Linked DNA regions of Cricetulus griseus. The protein of the gene in region 3 interacts with the protein of the main gene of each other region in a pairwise test. Links are inferred from orthologs where the notes say so. Each region holds a gene or a part of one and is shown on either strand. Other genes may lie near its edges.

Region 1 (4,604 bases), on a different chromosome or scaffold from region 3:
GGAGGCAGAAGCAGGTGGATCTCTGAGTTTTGAGGCAAGCCTAGTCTACAGAGTGAGGCAGGCAGGCAGGGTACTGAAGTAGTGGCTGACAGCTCAAATCTTGAGATGTGACCCCAAGGCAGATAGAGATAGAGATATAGAGATAGAGAGATCAGGTTGTGTTTTCAAGGATTTCTGTTAAGCTGGCCCTTGTGGTACATTCCCTAACCAAAGCACTCTGGGAGCAGAGACAGACCAACTGAGAGAGGCCAGCTTAATCTACATAAAGTTCCACCAACTAAGGTTACATAGAAAGACTCTAGTGAGAAAAAAGCAGAACAAAACAAAACTACAGGACTTCTGTGAAAAAGAACAGGCAGTCTGGATTAAGGTCTAGGGGACAGTCCTTAACTAGGGACCATGCTTTTTAACTTTGTACAGGGGACTGATGTTGTCAGTTGCCTCCTTTTACTTCTACCAAGTGGAAACTGGTTGTCCTGAGACTTGATAGCAGGCTCTTTTATTCATTAAACCATCTCATCAACCCTGTGTGCATATTCTTTAAAATTTGTATTTCATTTGTTTGGTTTTTGGGTTATGCCTGTGGAGGACAAAGGGCAACTTGTGGGAGTCAATTCTCTCCTACTATGTTGATCCCAGAATTGAATTCAGGTTGTCAGGCTTGGTGACAAGTACCCTAACCCTATTGAGCCACCTCACTACTGCTTTTGGGTTTTACCTATTGTTGAGACAGGATCTTCTTATGTTTTGTGTTCTTTTGTGATAGGGTTTTATGTATTCCAGAATGGCTTCAAATTCATTATGTTGCTGAGAATGGATGGATGGATGACCTTGAACTCCTGACCTTCCTACTTCCACCTCTCAGTCACCAAGATGAAGCTCGGACCTCTACTTCAGATCTGCTCCAAGGGTGGGTTGGTTTTTGTTTTTGTTTGTTGTAGTTTTGCAAAACAGGTTTTCTCTGTGTACTCCAGGCTGTCTTGCAACTAGGTCTGTAGACCAGGCTGACTTCAAACTTAAAAGATCCTCCTGCCTCCACCTCCCTGAATGCTAGGATTAAATGCGTGTGCCACCATGCTCAGCTCTCCATCGGTGTTTTAGAAAGTAGTGTTGGGAGATGAGTGTGTTCACTCATGTAATCTGAACATAAGGGGAGACTGAGATGGGGCTCTTAGAGGTTGAGACCAGCCTGACCTACATTTCAGGCCCATGACAGCTACATAGCAAGATCAGGTAACAAAAAAGACAGTGTCTAGGGATATCTCCATACAAACGGTTTCTAGCAAGGAGAGGCAAGGAATGCTGGTCAATATAATACATTTCTGGGACAACCACCTTAACAGAGAATCACCAGCTCAGACAGTGACAGTGCTGAGAGTGAGAACCACTGGTCTGGGGAGTGGCGATTCTAAGTAGAACCACAGAGAAAACAGGACAATAGTGCCGTGAGCCGATGTGGCCACATAGGAATTGTTCCAGCAGGGCTACAACAGCCAGCTATTCTGCTTATTGTGCTCCCCTATCACTGCCCGCAGAAAGCATCCAGGGCACTAGTCAACAAACTCCTGTCAAACCCATAGGTTGGTTTAACAACGACAGACCTTTGACAGCTCTCAAGAGGGACTCACTTTTTCTCTCTTAGATGCCGAAGTCGGTGGAATACATTGATGACATCTCTGATTCGTCTTGGAGCCTCTTCTATTTTGGAAGCCAGGTGAACACAAGCCATGGACACATGCTGAAATGTACATTGGGATACAGATGTTTTTCCCCAACCTGAAGACTTTCCAGGGCGTTAAAAACTATTAGGAGCAAACAGAAGGTACAGAGAGACAGACCTCCAGGGAGAGAACTGTACAGACTTTGGAGGACAGAACTCAGTTCACTAAGCGTAGGGCAGAACAAGCCAGGTTTCCCCCAATTCATTAGTCTGATAAAACAGAAGGAAGCCTACCTCCATGGAATGTTTCACGAAGGACTTGGTGTAAAAGAACCGCTGGAACAACACCTGCCCTGTAGCCATGGCCACCTAAGGACGGAGAAGATTCCATCACTTTTGAAGGCAGACCTCAAACCTGTCCCGGCTGAGATGTCTTGTGTAGTCCGTCCCCCGCCTCCCTCCCGCGCCCAGGACAAATACCCACGACAGTTTCCGTTTCCCCAAAGAATTTCTGTATTGCGAGGCTGTGCCGGGGTTTGTAATAAAGGACCTTCGCCTGAGGTGGGTGGGTGAAGGAAAGTCCGGGAGCGGGCCCCACTCCAAGGCGGTCAGCGGTCGGGTTCGAAGCACGGACTCGGGAGGATTATGTCAAGGCTGAGGTGCGGGCCGGGTCCAGGCCCGGTTGGTTGTGGGCCAAGCCAACAACAAAGGCCTGGCACTGTCGGCCGACCGGCGGACGGTTACCTACAAAGCCCGTGGCCGCGCCCTTACCTGCGGCAGGCGGAGCAGGATGCCGGCTGCCTGGATGAGCTCGCAGCCCACCACGCGGAGGCCAGTCTCTGTGTCGATGTCGAGACCGCTCGACATGGACGGCGTGAAGCGCAGCTTGTCGTCGGGGAGCAAGCAGTTCTCCAAGGTGATGAGCACGCCTGAGTACAGCCTGTCACCGATCAGCACCCCCTGAGACCCTGGGGCGGCTCCCCCCGAGCCGGAAGAGCCGGCCGCCAACGCGGGAGCCGCCAACACCGAAGCCCCGGCCGCCGCCGCCGCCATTTTGTGCCGCCGATTCTTTCTCGGGGCTTTCCCGGAGGGCGGCTCCTCGAGACGATCCCGGCCGCCCTGCCCCGCCTCCGCCCATTGGCTACACGTCACCGCCGCCTCTACCCCATTGGCCGTACGACCTGTTCTTCTGTATCGCGTCAGCCGCTGACGCCGGAAGTGGCCACGGGTGGGGCCGCTCGTTACCCACTCGGCTCCGCGGCCTGGCCAGAATCGGAAGCGGTCAGTCCGGAAGAGAGTTAAGTACTCCTGCCTCGGAGTCCGGCTCTAGAAGGGAGTCTTTCCGTGGGTATAGGGACAGGGTGACTTCTTCCCCACAGTCTCACGCGCACAGCATTACAGCGCGATTTAGTCCAGGGTCTTTAGTTCTCAACCCTTCCTGCTGTCCTCTGGCTCTGCTACAGCTGTGGGGTGGATCTTTCAGCATTAAAAGTGCAGGTTAAGGAACTGGAGGATGGCTAAGCGGTTAGAAGCACTGGCTGCCCTTTCAGAGATCCTCAGTTCGGTTCCCAACAACCACATAGAGGCTCACAACCATCTACAATGGGATCTGATGTCCTCTTCTATCATGCAAGCATACAGTGCAAACAGCACTCACATACATAAGTAAACGGATCTTTATTTTTTTTTAAGCACAAATTAAAGAGAACTGCAATTGTCAGATTTCATCACTCTCAATTTCTTGTGTACAGAACAAGAATGGCCAGAGATTTTGAAGGTCGACAGGAAAAGGCTTGGAGTTGACCCTACAGACAGTACTTATCCCTGGCTCCATTCCTGACCTGCCTAGTTTCAACCAAAACTATGCAGTAGATGGAGTTAACTATCTGTCACTGCTGAGTTATCTCAAGCTTTCACCAAAACTGCAGCTTTGGTGAAAGGAGAAAATGGGAGGGACACTGGAGGGTAAGGATGTTCCTAGATAGGTCCAATTCGGGTATTTTGAGCTTCGAACAAGGCTGCCAATAGTCAGCACTCCACAGTCCAGCTGTAGTGAGTTGATTTGATTCCATTGCCTAAGCAGATCCTACCAAGACCACATCTCCTGTCCTCTACCCACCCATGTTGGTCATATTGTTGATGTCCACCCATCTCTATCTAGACTGCAACTCCAAGGTGGGCACAAGGGTCCAAGGCTGTCACTGCCTGGCTACTTGCTGATTCCCTGGGCAAAGAATTGGAAGAGATTGTTGGCTCTAGTTATTCAAACCAGACTCTGGTACTGTAGATGAATGTTAACACCCAACAGGAAGAAAAACATAGGCTGGATAGGGATGCTGTGTACAACTCAGTGGTTTGCAACATCTCTTGTCTTTATTAAGTACAAATTAAAGCCTGTATCTTCCACCCCATCTGTTCAATAACCATTAGCTAATGAGTAATATGTATTGAACACACAGCAAAGTGACACTATTACAAACAAGACACAAATACTCAGTGCAGTGATGTTTAGCCTGATGACAAAAGAAAAAAGAAAAAAAAAAATCAAAGGGGCCTTGTAGGAATCTTTAGTAATGGAAGCCAAAATTAAGCTGGCCTACAGTGATGTTACAGAATAGAGGACAGATCCAAGTATTTTTTTATAGATTGTATTTCATTTTCCTTGGTGTGCACTGGTGTTTGTCTGCACTCATGCCAGTATGAGGGTGTTGAATACCCTGGAACTGCCATGTGGGTGCTGAGAATTGAACCAGGGTTCTCTGGAAGAGCAGCCAGTGCTCTTAACCACTGAGCTATCTCTCCAGCCCCCAAACCAAGTGATCTGTAGGAACTGGGAATATAGCTGAGTTGATAGAATGCTTGCCTAGCATTCCTGAAGCCCTGGTTCAATACCCTGTATCCCAGAAACTAGGCGTGGTGTTGCATACCTATATTCCCAGCACTT
Region 2 (4,386 bases), on a different chromosome or scaffold from region 3:
CTTCTTACATCAGAATTGAAAGTATGAGTCCCGGGGAGTAGAACCCTAGTCTACTGTCCTGAGCTGAGGTGCCAACCAATTGCTCTAGTAAACAAATTAGCCGTTATTATAACTGAGAACTGTGAGCTGCACAAAGTCACCAAGAACTACAGCATGGTGTAGATACCCCAGTCAGGATCTCACCATGCTCCTGAGTGACAGGAACTACAGCATGGTGTACACACCCCAGTCAGGCTCTCACCATGCTCCTGAGTGACAGGAACTACAGCATGGTGTACACACCCAGTCAGGATCTCATCATGCTCCTGAGTGACAGGAACTACAGCATGGTGTACACACCCCAGCCAGGATCTCACCATGTTTCTCCTGAGTGACAGGAACTACAGCATGGTGTAGACACCCCAGCCAGGATCTCACCATGATTCTCCTGAGTGACAGGAACTACAGCATGGTGTAGACACCCCAGCCAGGATCTCACCATGTTTCTCCTGAGTGACAGGAACTACAGCATGGTGTAGACACCCCAGCCAGGATCTCACCATGTTTCTCCTGAGTGACAGGAACTACAGCATGGTGTAGACACCCCAGCCAGGATCTCACCATGATTCTCCTGAGTGACAGGAACTATAGCATGTTGTAGACACCCCAGCCAGGATCTCACCATGATTCTCCTGAGTGACAGGAACTACAGCATGGTGTACACACCCCAGTCAGAATCTCACCATGCTCCTGAGTGACAGGAACTACAGCATGGTGTAGGGCACCCCAGCCAGGATCTCACCATGCTCCTGAGTGACAGGAACTACAGCATGGTGTATACACCCCAGTCAGAATCTCACCATGCTCCTGAGTGACAGGAACTACAGCATGGTGTACACACCCCAGCCAGGATCTCACCATGATTCTCCTGAGTGACAGGAATTACAGCATGGTATACACACCCCAGTCAGAATCTCACCATGCTCCTGAGTGACAGGAACTACAGCATGGTGTACACACCCCAGTCAGGCTCTCACCATGTTTCTCCTGAGTGACAGGAACTACAGCATGGTGTACACACCCCAGCCAGGATCTCACCATGTTTCTCCTGAGTGACAGGAACTACAGCATGGTGTACACACCCAGTCAGAATCTCACCATGCTCCTAAGTGACAGGAACTACAGCATGGTGTACACACCCCAGCCAGGATCTCACCATGCTCCTGAGTGACAGGAACTACAGCATGGTGTAGGGCACCCCAGCCAGGATCTCACCATGCTCCTGTGTTTCAGGCCAGACAGCTGGAGCACTTAGATCATTATTTACATCTATAGACAACTTCAAGAAAATGCATTAATGCACCCACATGTGTGAACACAAGCATAGTACCACACATGGAAACAAATGTCTAAAGAGTAAGACTAGAGAAGTTAAAGCTGTAAGAGTCACCAGCTTTGGGAAGAGCTGGCAGAAATATCCACTGTTGTCTAATTTGGAATTGAACACAGGAATGGAATGCAGAAACCTTTAGTATTGGCTATTAACATGCATAGTCAAGTAGCTGGGAGAGGCAGTGAGGACCAGACACGTCCTTTGACTTCAAGTACAAGGTTAAAAACTCACCACTTGTCATGAAGTTTGAGTATTCCCTGAATACAAATAAATTGCTCGGGGCTCTGAAACGAGTACACCCTAACTGACTGATGAATATAATTGTGTCTACTTAAACTTCCAATAGTGACTTCAAATTTGGATACAAATAGAAGAATCCTCAAAGATCATCAGCAGCATTATTTGACAGGGATCAGAAAAGAAAGTTATCAGTTAAGAGCTAGGAAATGTTTGCAAAACTCTGCAAAAACAGGTTAGATTTCCAATATTTAAAAGTTAAGGGGAAAATACAACTTAAGAGAAAACAAACATTGAAAGCATTCAGGCTACCAGCCACATCCAAAATGCATCCCCTCAACAGTTTACATCAGGGAAAGCTTGTTTGCATCACCTACCCCCCCACACACACACACACATTAACTTTAAAGTAGCTGATAGAAAAGCCACCGCTTACACTAAACGTCTGTTTGGTTTCCAAGAATAGCCTCCATGCTTTTTTGAGCGGGGAAAGAGGGTAGATTTTATGAGGGGGAGGGGAGCTTCGTTCTTTCAATGTAAATGTCATGAGCGTGCTTGTATATGCCAACCCTGCTGAAGGTGGTGAGACCTTCAAGTTATTTCACGATGGGTCTTTAAAGTTTGCGCGAATTCATTCCTGCCAACCTCTTGGCAACATCTAACCTTTTCCGCAACGAGAAAGGGCCTCTCAGCTCGTATCGACACTGTCACGGAATACGTATGTGCAAGTTTGGGCTGTCAAGCCCCACACGGGTGGATCTGAGCGCGCGTGCGCTCGCTGGCTCGCTCGCTCGGCACAGGCGCGCCTACACGGGCCTCCCCGGTCCCCCGCGCCCACCTACTCACCCCTTCCCTCCTGGCAAGTTTGAAACTTTGTTTGCCCCGCCAACAGAACAAGCGCTACCGATGCCCTCGAGACAAAGGGACGGCCGAGCTGGGGTTTAGCGGGATTGCCCAATTTTAGTTGTGCAACAAAGCCCGCAAACGGGAGCCCCGGGGAGGAGGAGGAAGAGGAGGAGGAGGTGCAGCCTCGGGCGGGCGAGCGGGCGAGCCCACCGGCCGGGCCCGCTGTGCTCACCGCTTCACGCGGATGATCTGGTCGCGCATGGGCTTGATGTCCTGGAAGCTCTGCTGGTTGACCAGGCTGTAGACGAGGATGAAGCCCTGGCCGTTCTTGATGTACAGGTCCCGCATGGAGGCGAACTGCTCGGTGCCCGCCGTGTCCAGGATCTCCAGCACGGACGGCGACGAGTCCACCTCGATCTCCTTGCGGTAGAAGTCCTCGATGGTGGGGTCGTACTTCTCGATGAACGTGCCGGTCACGAACTGCACCGTCAGGGCGGATTTGCCCACCCCGCCCGAGCCCAGCACCACCACTTTGTACTCGCGCATCGTCCCCGCGCGGCCACCGCCGCCGCCCGCGACATAGACCTGCCCGCCCGCCCGCCGCGCGACCCGCGGCCCGGCCCCGCCGCCCCGGCGGACACGCCGGCTCACGGCCGCGCGCGACAGCGCCCGGAGGCGCCCACGGCGGGGGCGGGCGGCAGCTGGGCGAGCCGCGCGCCCGGGGAGAGGCCCGAGGCGGGCAACACAACAGCGCCGAGGGCGCCGGCAGCAGCGAGGGAGCGCTAGCCCGAGCCGGAGCCGCCCGAGCCGCCGGCCCGCAGTGCCCCCCGCCGCCCCGCCGCGCCCCGCCCGCCGCTCGCGCCTCCACGCCCAGCCCCAGCCCCCCAGCCCCCGCCGCCGCTTCCCCGGCGCTGGAGCGCGCTCCCGAGCCCCAGTCGCCGCGCTGCCGGGGGCGGGGCCGAGGCGAAGCCCCGCCTCTCGCGCCTCGTCCCAGCCCCAGCCGCCACTTCCAGGGAACTGGAGCGCGCGCCCTAGCCTCAGCCGCAGACACAGCGCTGCCGGGGGCGGGGCCAGACGCAGGGGCGGGGCCGAGACGAAGCCCCGCCTCTCGCGCCTCGTCCCAGCCCCAGCCGCCGCTTCCAGGGAATCGGAGCGCGCGCCCGAGCCTCAGCCGCGCCGCTGCCGGGGCGGGGCCAGACGTCAGGGCGTGGCCGAGGCGAAGCCCCACCTCTCGCGCCATCACCTAGCGACAGGCCGCGCGCACGCGCGGCGGCGCAGTCGTCGCGCTGCCAGAAGCAGGGTTCCGCCGTAGACGTCCGGCAACACCCAGCCTCACAGGCACAGCTGCTGGGCGTGCGCATGCGCGCTTCCCCTCTCCCTCCCTCCCCCCCCTCCGCCCTCGGCGGGCCACGTCACACTCCCACGCTCGCAGCTTGCCGGCGAGATGGCGACTAGCGGAGGGAGGGCCCGTGGGGACAGAAAAGGTGCGGGCCGTGCTGGGGGACGCCATGACAGCGCCCAGCCCGTCGGCGTTAGGACACTTTTCGTGTGACGCGTGACGACAGCCTCGAGGCCGCCGTCCCCACTCACACCAGCAAGTCGGCGGCGGCGCCCAGGCCACAGGCAGTCTACGCCCGATGACGTCGAGGTCCCGCCCCCACCCTCTAGCCCCGCCCCCCGAGGTTTGCTCTAAGCCGAGCTCCTCCCACACCCTGACAGCTGGGAAACCTGGAGCGCGCATGCGCAAGCTAGGGGGGGCCTGGGGGGCCCTCGGCAATGTCCACGGGGACTGTTGGCGCGGAAGCTGGATTCACTGCAACCAATCGGGTCACGTGCCTGGACGCGAGCGTACCGCTGTCGGCCAATAGAAAAAGACGTCTCATCTTGTTAACCAATCGGGATGAGACTCGGTCTTAGGCTGGGCCAACGCC
Region 3 (4,253 bases):
CCCATTCTCCATCCTTGGCTCTTTCTGCTTTGCCTTATGGATTTCCAGTGGCTGTTATAATTACCAAGACTTGGCCAGTAAGCTAATTCAGTGGATAAAAACACATGCCACTAATCCCAATGATCCGAGTTCAATCCCAGAACCTCCATGGTGGAAGGAGAGACCCTACTCCCATCAGTAGTTGTCCTCTGGCCTCTGTACTCACACCGTGGCACATGCACACACAAAATAAGCAAACAAAAGTCATCTTTTAAAAAAGTACTAGCCAAGCATGGTGGCACATGCTTTTGGTCCTAGTACTCAGGAGGCAGAGGCAGGAGAATCTCTGTGAGTCCCAGGTTAGCCTCGTTTACATAGTGAATTCCAGGACAGCCATAACTACATAGAGATGCCGTCTAAACAAAACAAAACAAACAAAAAACCCACACATACAAACAAGTACTAAGCTCAGTCCCTAAGAAGCCTCTGCCCTCTATTGTCTGTCTGCTCTAGAAGCCTCAATGGAACACTGGCCATTAAGGCTCCCAAGTCAACAGTACAACAAATCCTCTCTCCACCACCTTGCTTTGGGCTTCTCCAGAGGGCTAAAGCCTAAGGCCAGACAAGTGAGTTTTGGACTGTGCTAGAGAGAAGAAGCAGGCTGCTGGATTCAAAGCCTGTACCTTGGGTGCAAACAGAAATATCAGCACTTGCCTCATTCAACTTTGGTTCAGATCCCAGAAAACGTGGGAGAAGGTGAGAGTGCATGGATTGCTGGGCACAGGCCAGGTGAGGAGTCAAGGCTGGCCCTGCCAGGAGGTAGCCTATGACTGTTATCAGACCATTATTGGTTTTGTTATGAACACTATCAATCTGTGATCATCTGTGTCAGACTTCAATAGAGGCCTGGGGCCTGGTCAGCATGGCAGCCATCTGCCATCTGTCCTTGGGGGAGCTGAAAGCTGGTCAGAGCCTCTGGGAACCCCATGGTGTGGGCCTGGTTAGAAGGAGCATAGCTGCTGTGGGTTACCATGGAGACAGGGAGGCCAGGGCCCAGGGGAGCCTGCAGACTGCTAAAGGGAACTGCTGGGAGCTGTAGGAGAACCACGTGACTGTGATGAGGCAGCAGGGGTCCCTGGGGTTTTGGAGAATTTGTCATGTCCCTAACCCCTCTAAACTATACCTTGTCCCCAACTCTGAGCTATCTCCAAGTCACCCGAACCTCTTTCTCCAGCTTAGGTCAAGTGCCCCGCCCCCCCAATCAAAGCCCCGGTTATCCTGGCAGGCAAGAAAAAGATGTGCGTAGATGGCCAAGGGCCGAGGGACAAGAAGAGTGTCATTGAGTTAGCTGTTTCCGTGTGCCAGGAACCGGCCAGTACCTAACATGGCACACCATGACCCATTCTTTGGTACGTGTGATTTTTACATCTAAGCTGTAAAATCTAAGATAAAGTGCCAAAGGCACAGAGTAGTTAGGAAACTTCCACAAGGTGGTACAGCTAAGGACTGGAGCAAAAGCTTGACCCTAGGTGTGGATCCAAAGGCAGGAAGCTCCTGACACCACACTGACAGGATATGGGGAATAAGGGCAGAGAAGGGAGCTGTGTTCTGGGCTAGGTCATCAATACACCGTTCCTTTCACACATCCCAGGGCTGGTGTGAACAGCACTTTCAAGACACTGGGAAGGGGAGGCTCTGAAACAGAGACAACATGGGTGGGTAAGTGCCCTGGTATCCAAGGAGCTCTGGGTGCCGGAGACTGGGCATCAGGTGGACATGATTCCTGGGGGGAGGAACAGGGCTGAGGCTTATGTGCAGGCAGGTGGGACTGGCAAGGAAGGACAATCAGCCCTGCATCCAGGAGCAATATAATCCAAGCATTTGGTGGACATGGTGGGCATGGAGGCTGCAGGTGGAGAAGGCAGCTGGCGTGGAGATCCCGGAGGGAGAGGCAAGGACAGGTGGGGCTTGGGAGAGAGCCTGCACAGCTGGCAGCTTTCTGGCCTCAGAGCAGGGCAAGGAGGGTGAGTCACTGCAGGGTTGAAGTGGGAAGGATTACTTCCTGGTATCCAAGAAAGCTGAGAATTTCCCCAGCCCTGCAACAGCCCCACCCTCAGAGATTTGGGCATCTGGACTCCCAATCTCCTCTCAGACTCAGGGGCCCAGGCTTCTGCAACCAGGCCTAGGGTAGCGCCCTCGACCTTCACTGGATGGATTCGGGGGCTTTACTGCTGTGCCACAGGCTGCAGCTGCTCAGAAACACCATCCTTGCTTCATGGAGGGTTGAGCATAGAAAAGTCTCTCAGGAAAGCTCCACCCCAAGAGGCCAAGATGTCAGGGATGGCAAAGAGGGGACTTGGAGGACACCCACCCCCAACCCCATCGAGTCCCCTCTGCCCACCCTGCCCCCACTGCCAGGAAGAGAGCCAGCCATCTCCCCCTCCCCCCCTCACACACAATGTCACTTCCTGGTTCTCACAGGAAGCTGCAGTGCCAATTAAACTCTCTTCATGCCCCCAAACCCCAGGCCGGGCATAGGCCTGGTTTAGCCAAAAAAGAATAAGGACCGGCATTCCAGCCCGCCTCCGGGCTGCGGGCCTGGGAAGAAGAGTGAGCGCGTTCCTTCTAAGCCTCGCTGTCCTGCCTTTTGCCAGCGGTTGTAGAGCATCCCCGTGGGCATGTTTAACCCTTAGATTTCTCAGCCCGCCCCAACCCCTCTCTCTAACCACCCCATCCGGACCGCCAGCGGCGCCCACCTGCACACGGTGATCAGGTTCCTGCGCTCCACGATCACGTTGCGGGAAGATGCTTTCTTGGAGGGCAGCCCCAGAGCCATGGTGGTCTGCACAAAGCTCGCTTCCATTCAGATGTGCGGCCACTGCTGCCGACGCCCGCTGCCCCCCACCCCACCCGGAGCCCTGGCCCCCCTCGCAGGATCACGGCTGGGCCCTCTGCCCCCCGGGGCCCTTCGTCCTCTTCACTGCCATCCCTCGGCCTCGACGCCTGGTGCCTGGCCCCTTCGCTCCCTCCCCCGGCAGCGATTCCGGAGCAAAACAAGGCCGGGGAGGGAGCTCTCCGAGGTGCTGAGCCGGGGCTCGCCACCCCCTCCCCCAGCCGCCCGCTCTCCCCCCCATCAACCGGTGACGTCAGGGCCATAGGGCCCCGCCCCCCGGCAGCTCGGGACCAATCCGCCAAGGGCGCAGGGCTTGGGGGGAGGGGAAGGACTGTGGCCCCTGTGAGAGCAGAGGGGGGTCCCCCGGAGAGAAGGACCCTATTCTCCACCCCCACACTCAAGGCTGGGGATCCCTCGCCTGGCGTCTCAGTTTTGAGGCTTCTTTCCCTAGTTTCTAATCTGCAAGCGGTGGTGTCTCTCTCTGGTCTCCCGCTGTAGCCCGAAGAATGGAGACCCTCACCTCCTGCACCATTTTCCGCCCTGCCCCCCACCCCCCATTCCACCCAGGCGCTTCAGCCAGACGTGGGCCGCTTTCAGAGACTGCAGATGGCCTTGAGGTGCTAACCCAGAAACTAAATGCAACCAGAGGCTGCACTGCACGTCTGTCTGTGTGTGCGGGGCGGGGGTGGGGGTGCGTTCCTTTGCAGTAGCCAGCAAGCCAGTCTCTCCGCGGGTGGAGGATGAGAACCCAACGAACCGCCTGAGTCCAGAACGTGAAACCACTCAGGATAGGGATATGGAGTTACCGGCAGTTAGGCACCCAGGACTCCATGGGGGTCCTCAGCAGCAGCCACCCCAATGATCAGTAGATTTAAGAGTTAATCCTTTGGCTGCCTACTTTGCTGCAGCCGGGGAGGGGGGAGGGGAGGTAAAAAATGGTTAGCTTTTAGCTAGGCTGGACTGAAGGCAGTCTGGCTTCTCTGCCACACTTGGCTTCCATGCTGTTTCTTCATATTCCTGATCGCCTGCTCCATCCCTGATAAACCACCTTCAGGATCCGAACATCGCTCGTGTTCAATTGGGTTGCTCCTGTTAATGCGGAGTGTAAGACTTCTCAATACATTTCGGCTATCAGTGCCTTATCAGATCTTATCAGACCATTTTCTCAGGTTCAGTGGATTGTCTTTTAAAATAGTCATTTAATACTCAAAAAAGAAATGTTCATGAAATCCAATCTGGTGTTGTTTTTTGTTTGTTTTTTCATTTGTTGGTTCTGTCTTTTGCTGTTAAATCCTAGAAATCATTGCCTTTGTATGTTTTTTTTTTGGGGGGGTTGTTTGTTTGTTTTCAAGACAGGGTTTCTCTGTATTGCTTTGGAGCC

The links.
Region 1: the proteins of Rundc3a (region 3) and Ccnl2 interact in binary tests that used the Homo sapiens proteins (3 or more experiments, as listed by UniProt). The two-hybrid records come from large-scale screens. The link is inferred for Cricetulus griseus from reciprocal best matches to the Homo sapiens genes RUNDC3A and CCNL2.
Region 2: the proteins of Rundc3a (region 3) and ras-related protein Rap-2a interact in binary tests that used the Homo sapiens proteins (3 or more experiments, as listed by UniProt). The link is inferred for Cricetulus griseus from reciprocal best matches to the Homo sapiens genes RUNDC3A and RAP2A.

The regions. Positions count from the first base shown.
Region 1 is NC_048595.1:468,390-472,993, forward strand, and holds the start of Ccnl2 (cyclin-L2), read right to left. Parts: upstream 3,048-4,604; 5' UTR 2,714-3,047; coding exon 2,432-2,713; intron 2,030-2,431; coding exon 1,955-2,029; intron 1,739-1,954; coding exon 1,629-1,738; intron 1-1,628. UniProt on the Homo sapiens protein: Involved in pre-mRNA splicing. May induce cell death, possibly by acting on the transcription and RNA processing of apoptosis-related factors.
Region 2 is NW_023276807.1:270,427,708-270,432,093, reverse strand, and holds the start of ras-related protein Rap-2a, read right to left. Parts: upstream 3,048-4,386; 5' UTR 3,002-3,047; coding exon 2,688-3,001; intron 1-2,687. UniProt on the Homo sapiens protein: Small GTP-binding protein which cycles between a GDP-bound inactive and a GTP-bound active form. In its active form interacts with and regulates several effectors including MAP4K4, MINK1 and TNIK.
Region 3 is NC_048600.1:115,705,870-115,710,122, forward strand, and holds the start of Rundc3a (RUN domain-containing protein 3A), read right to left. Parts: upstream 2,816-4,253; coding exon 2,736-2,815; intron 1-2,735. UniProt on the Homo sapiens protein: May act as an effector of RAP2A in neuronal cells.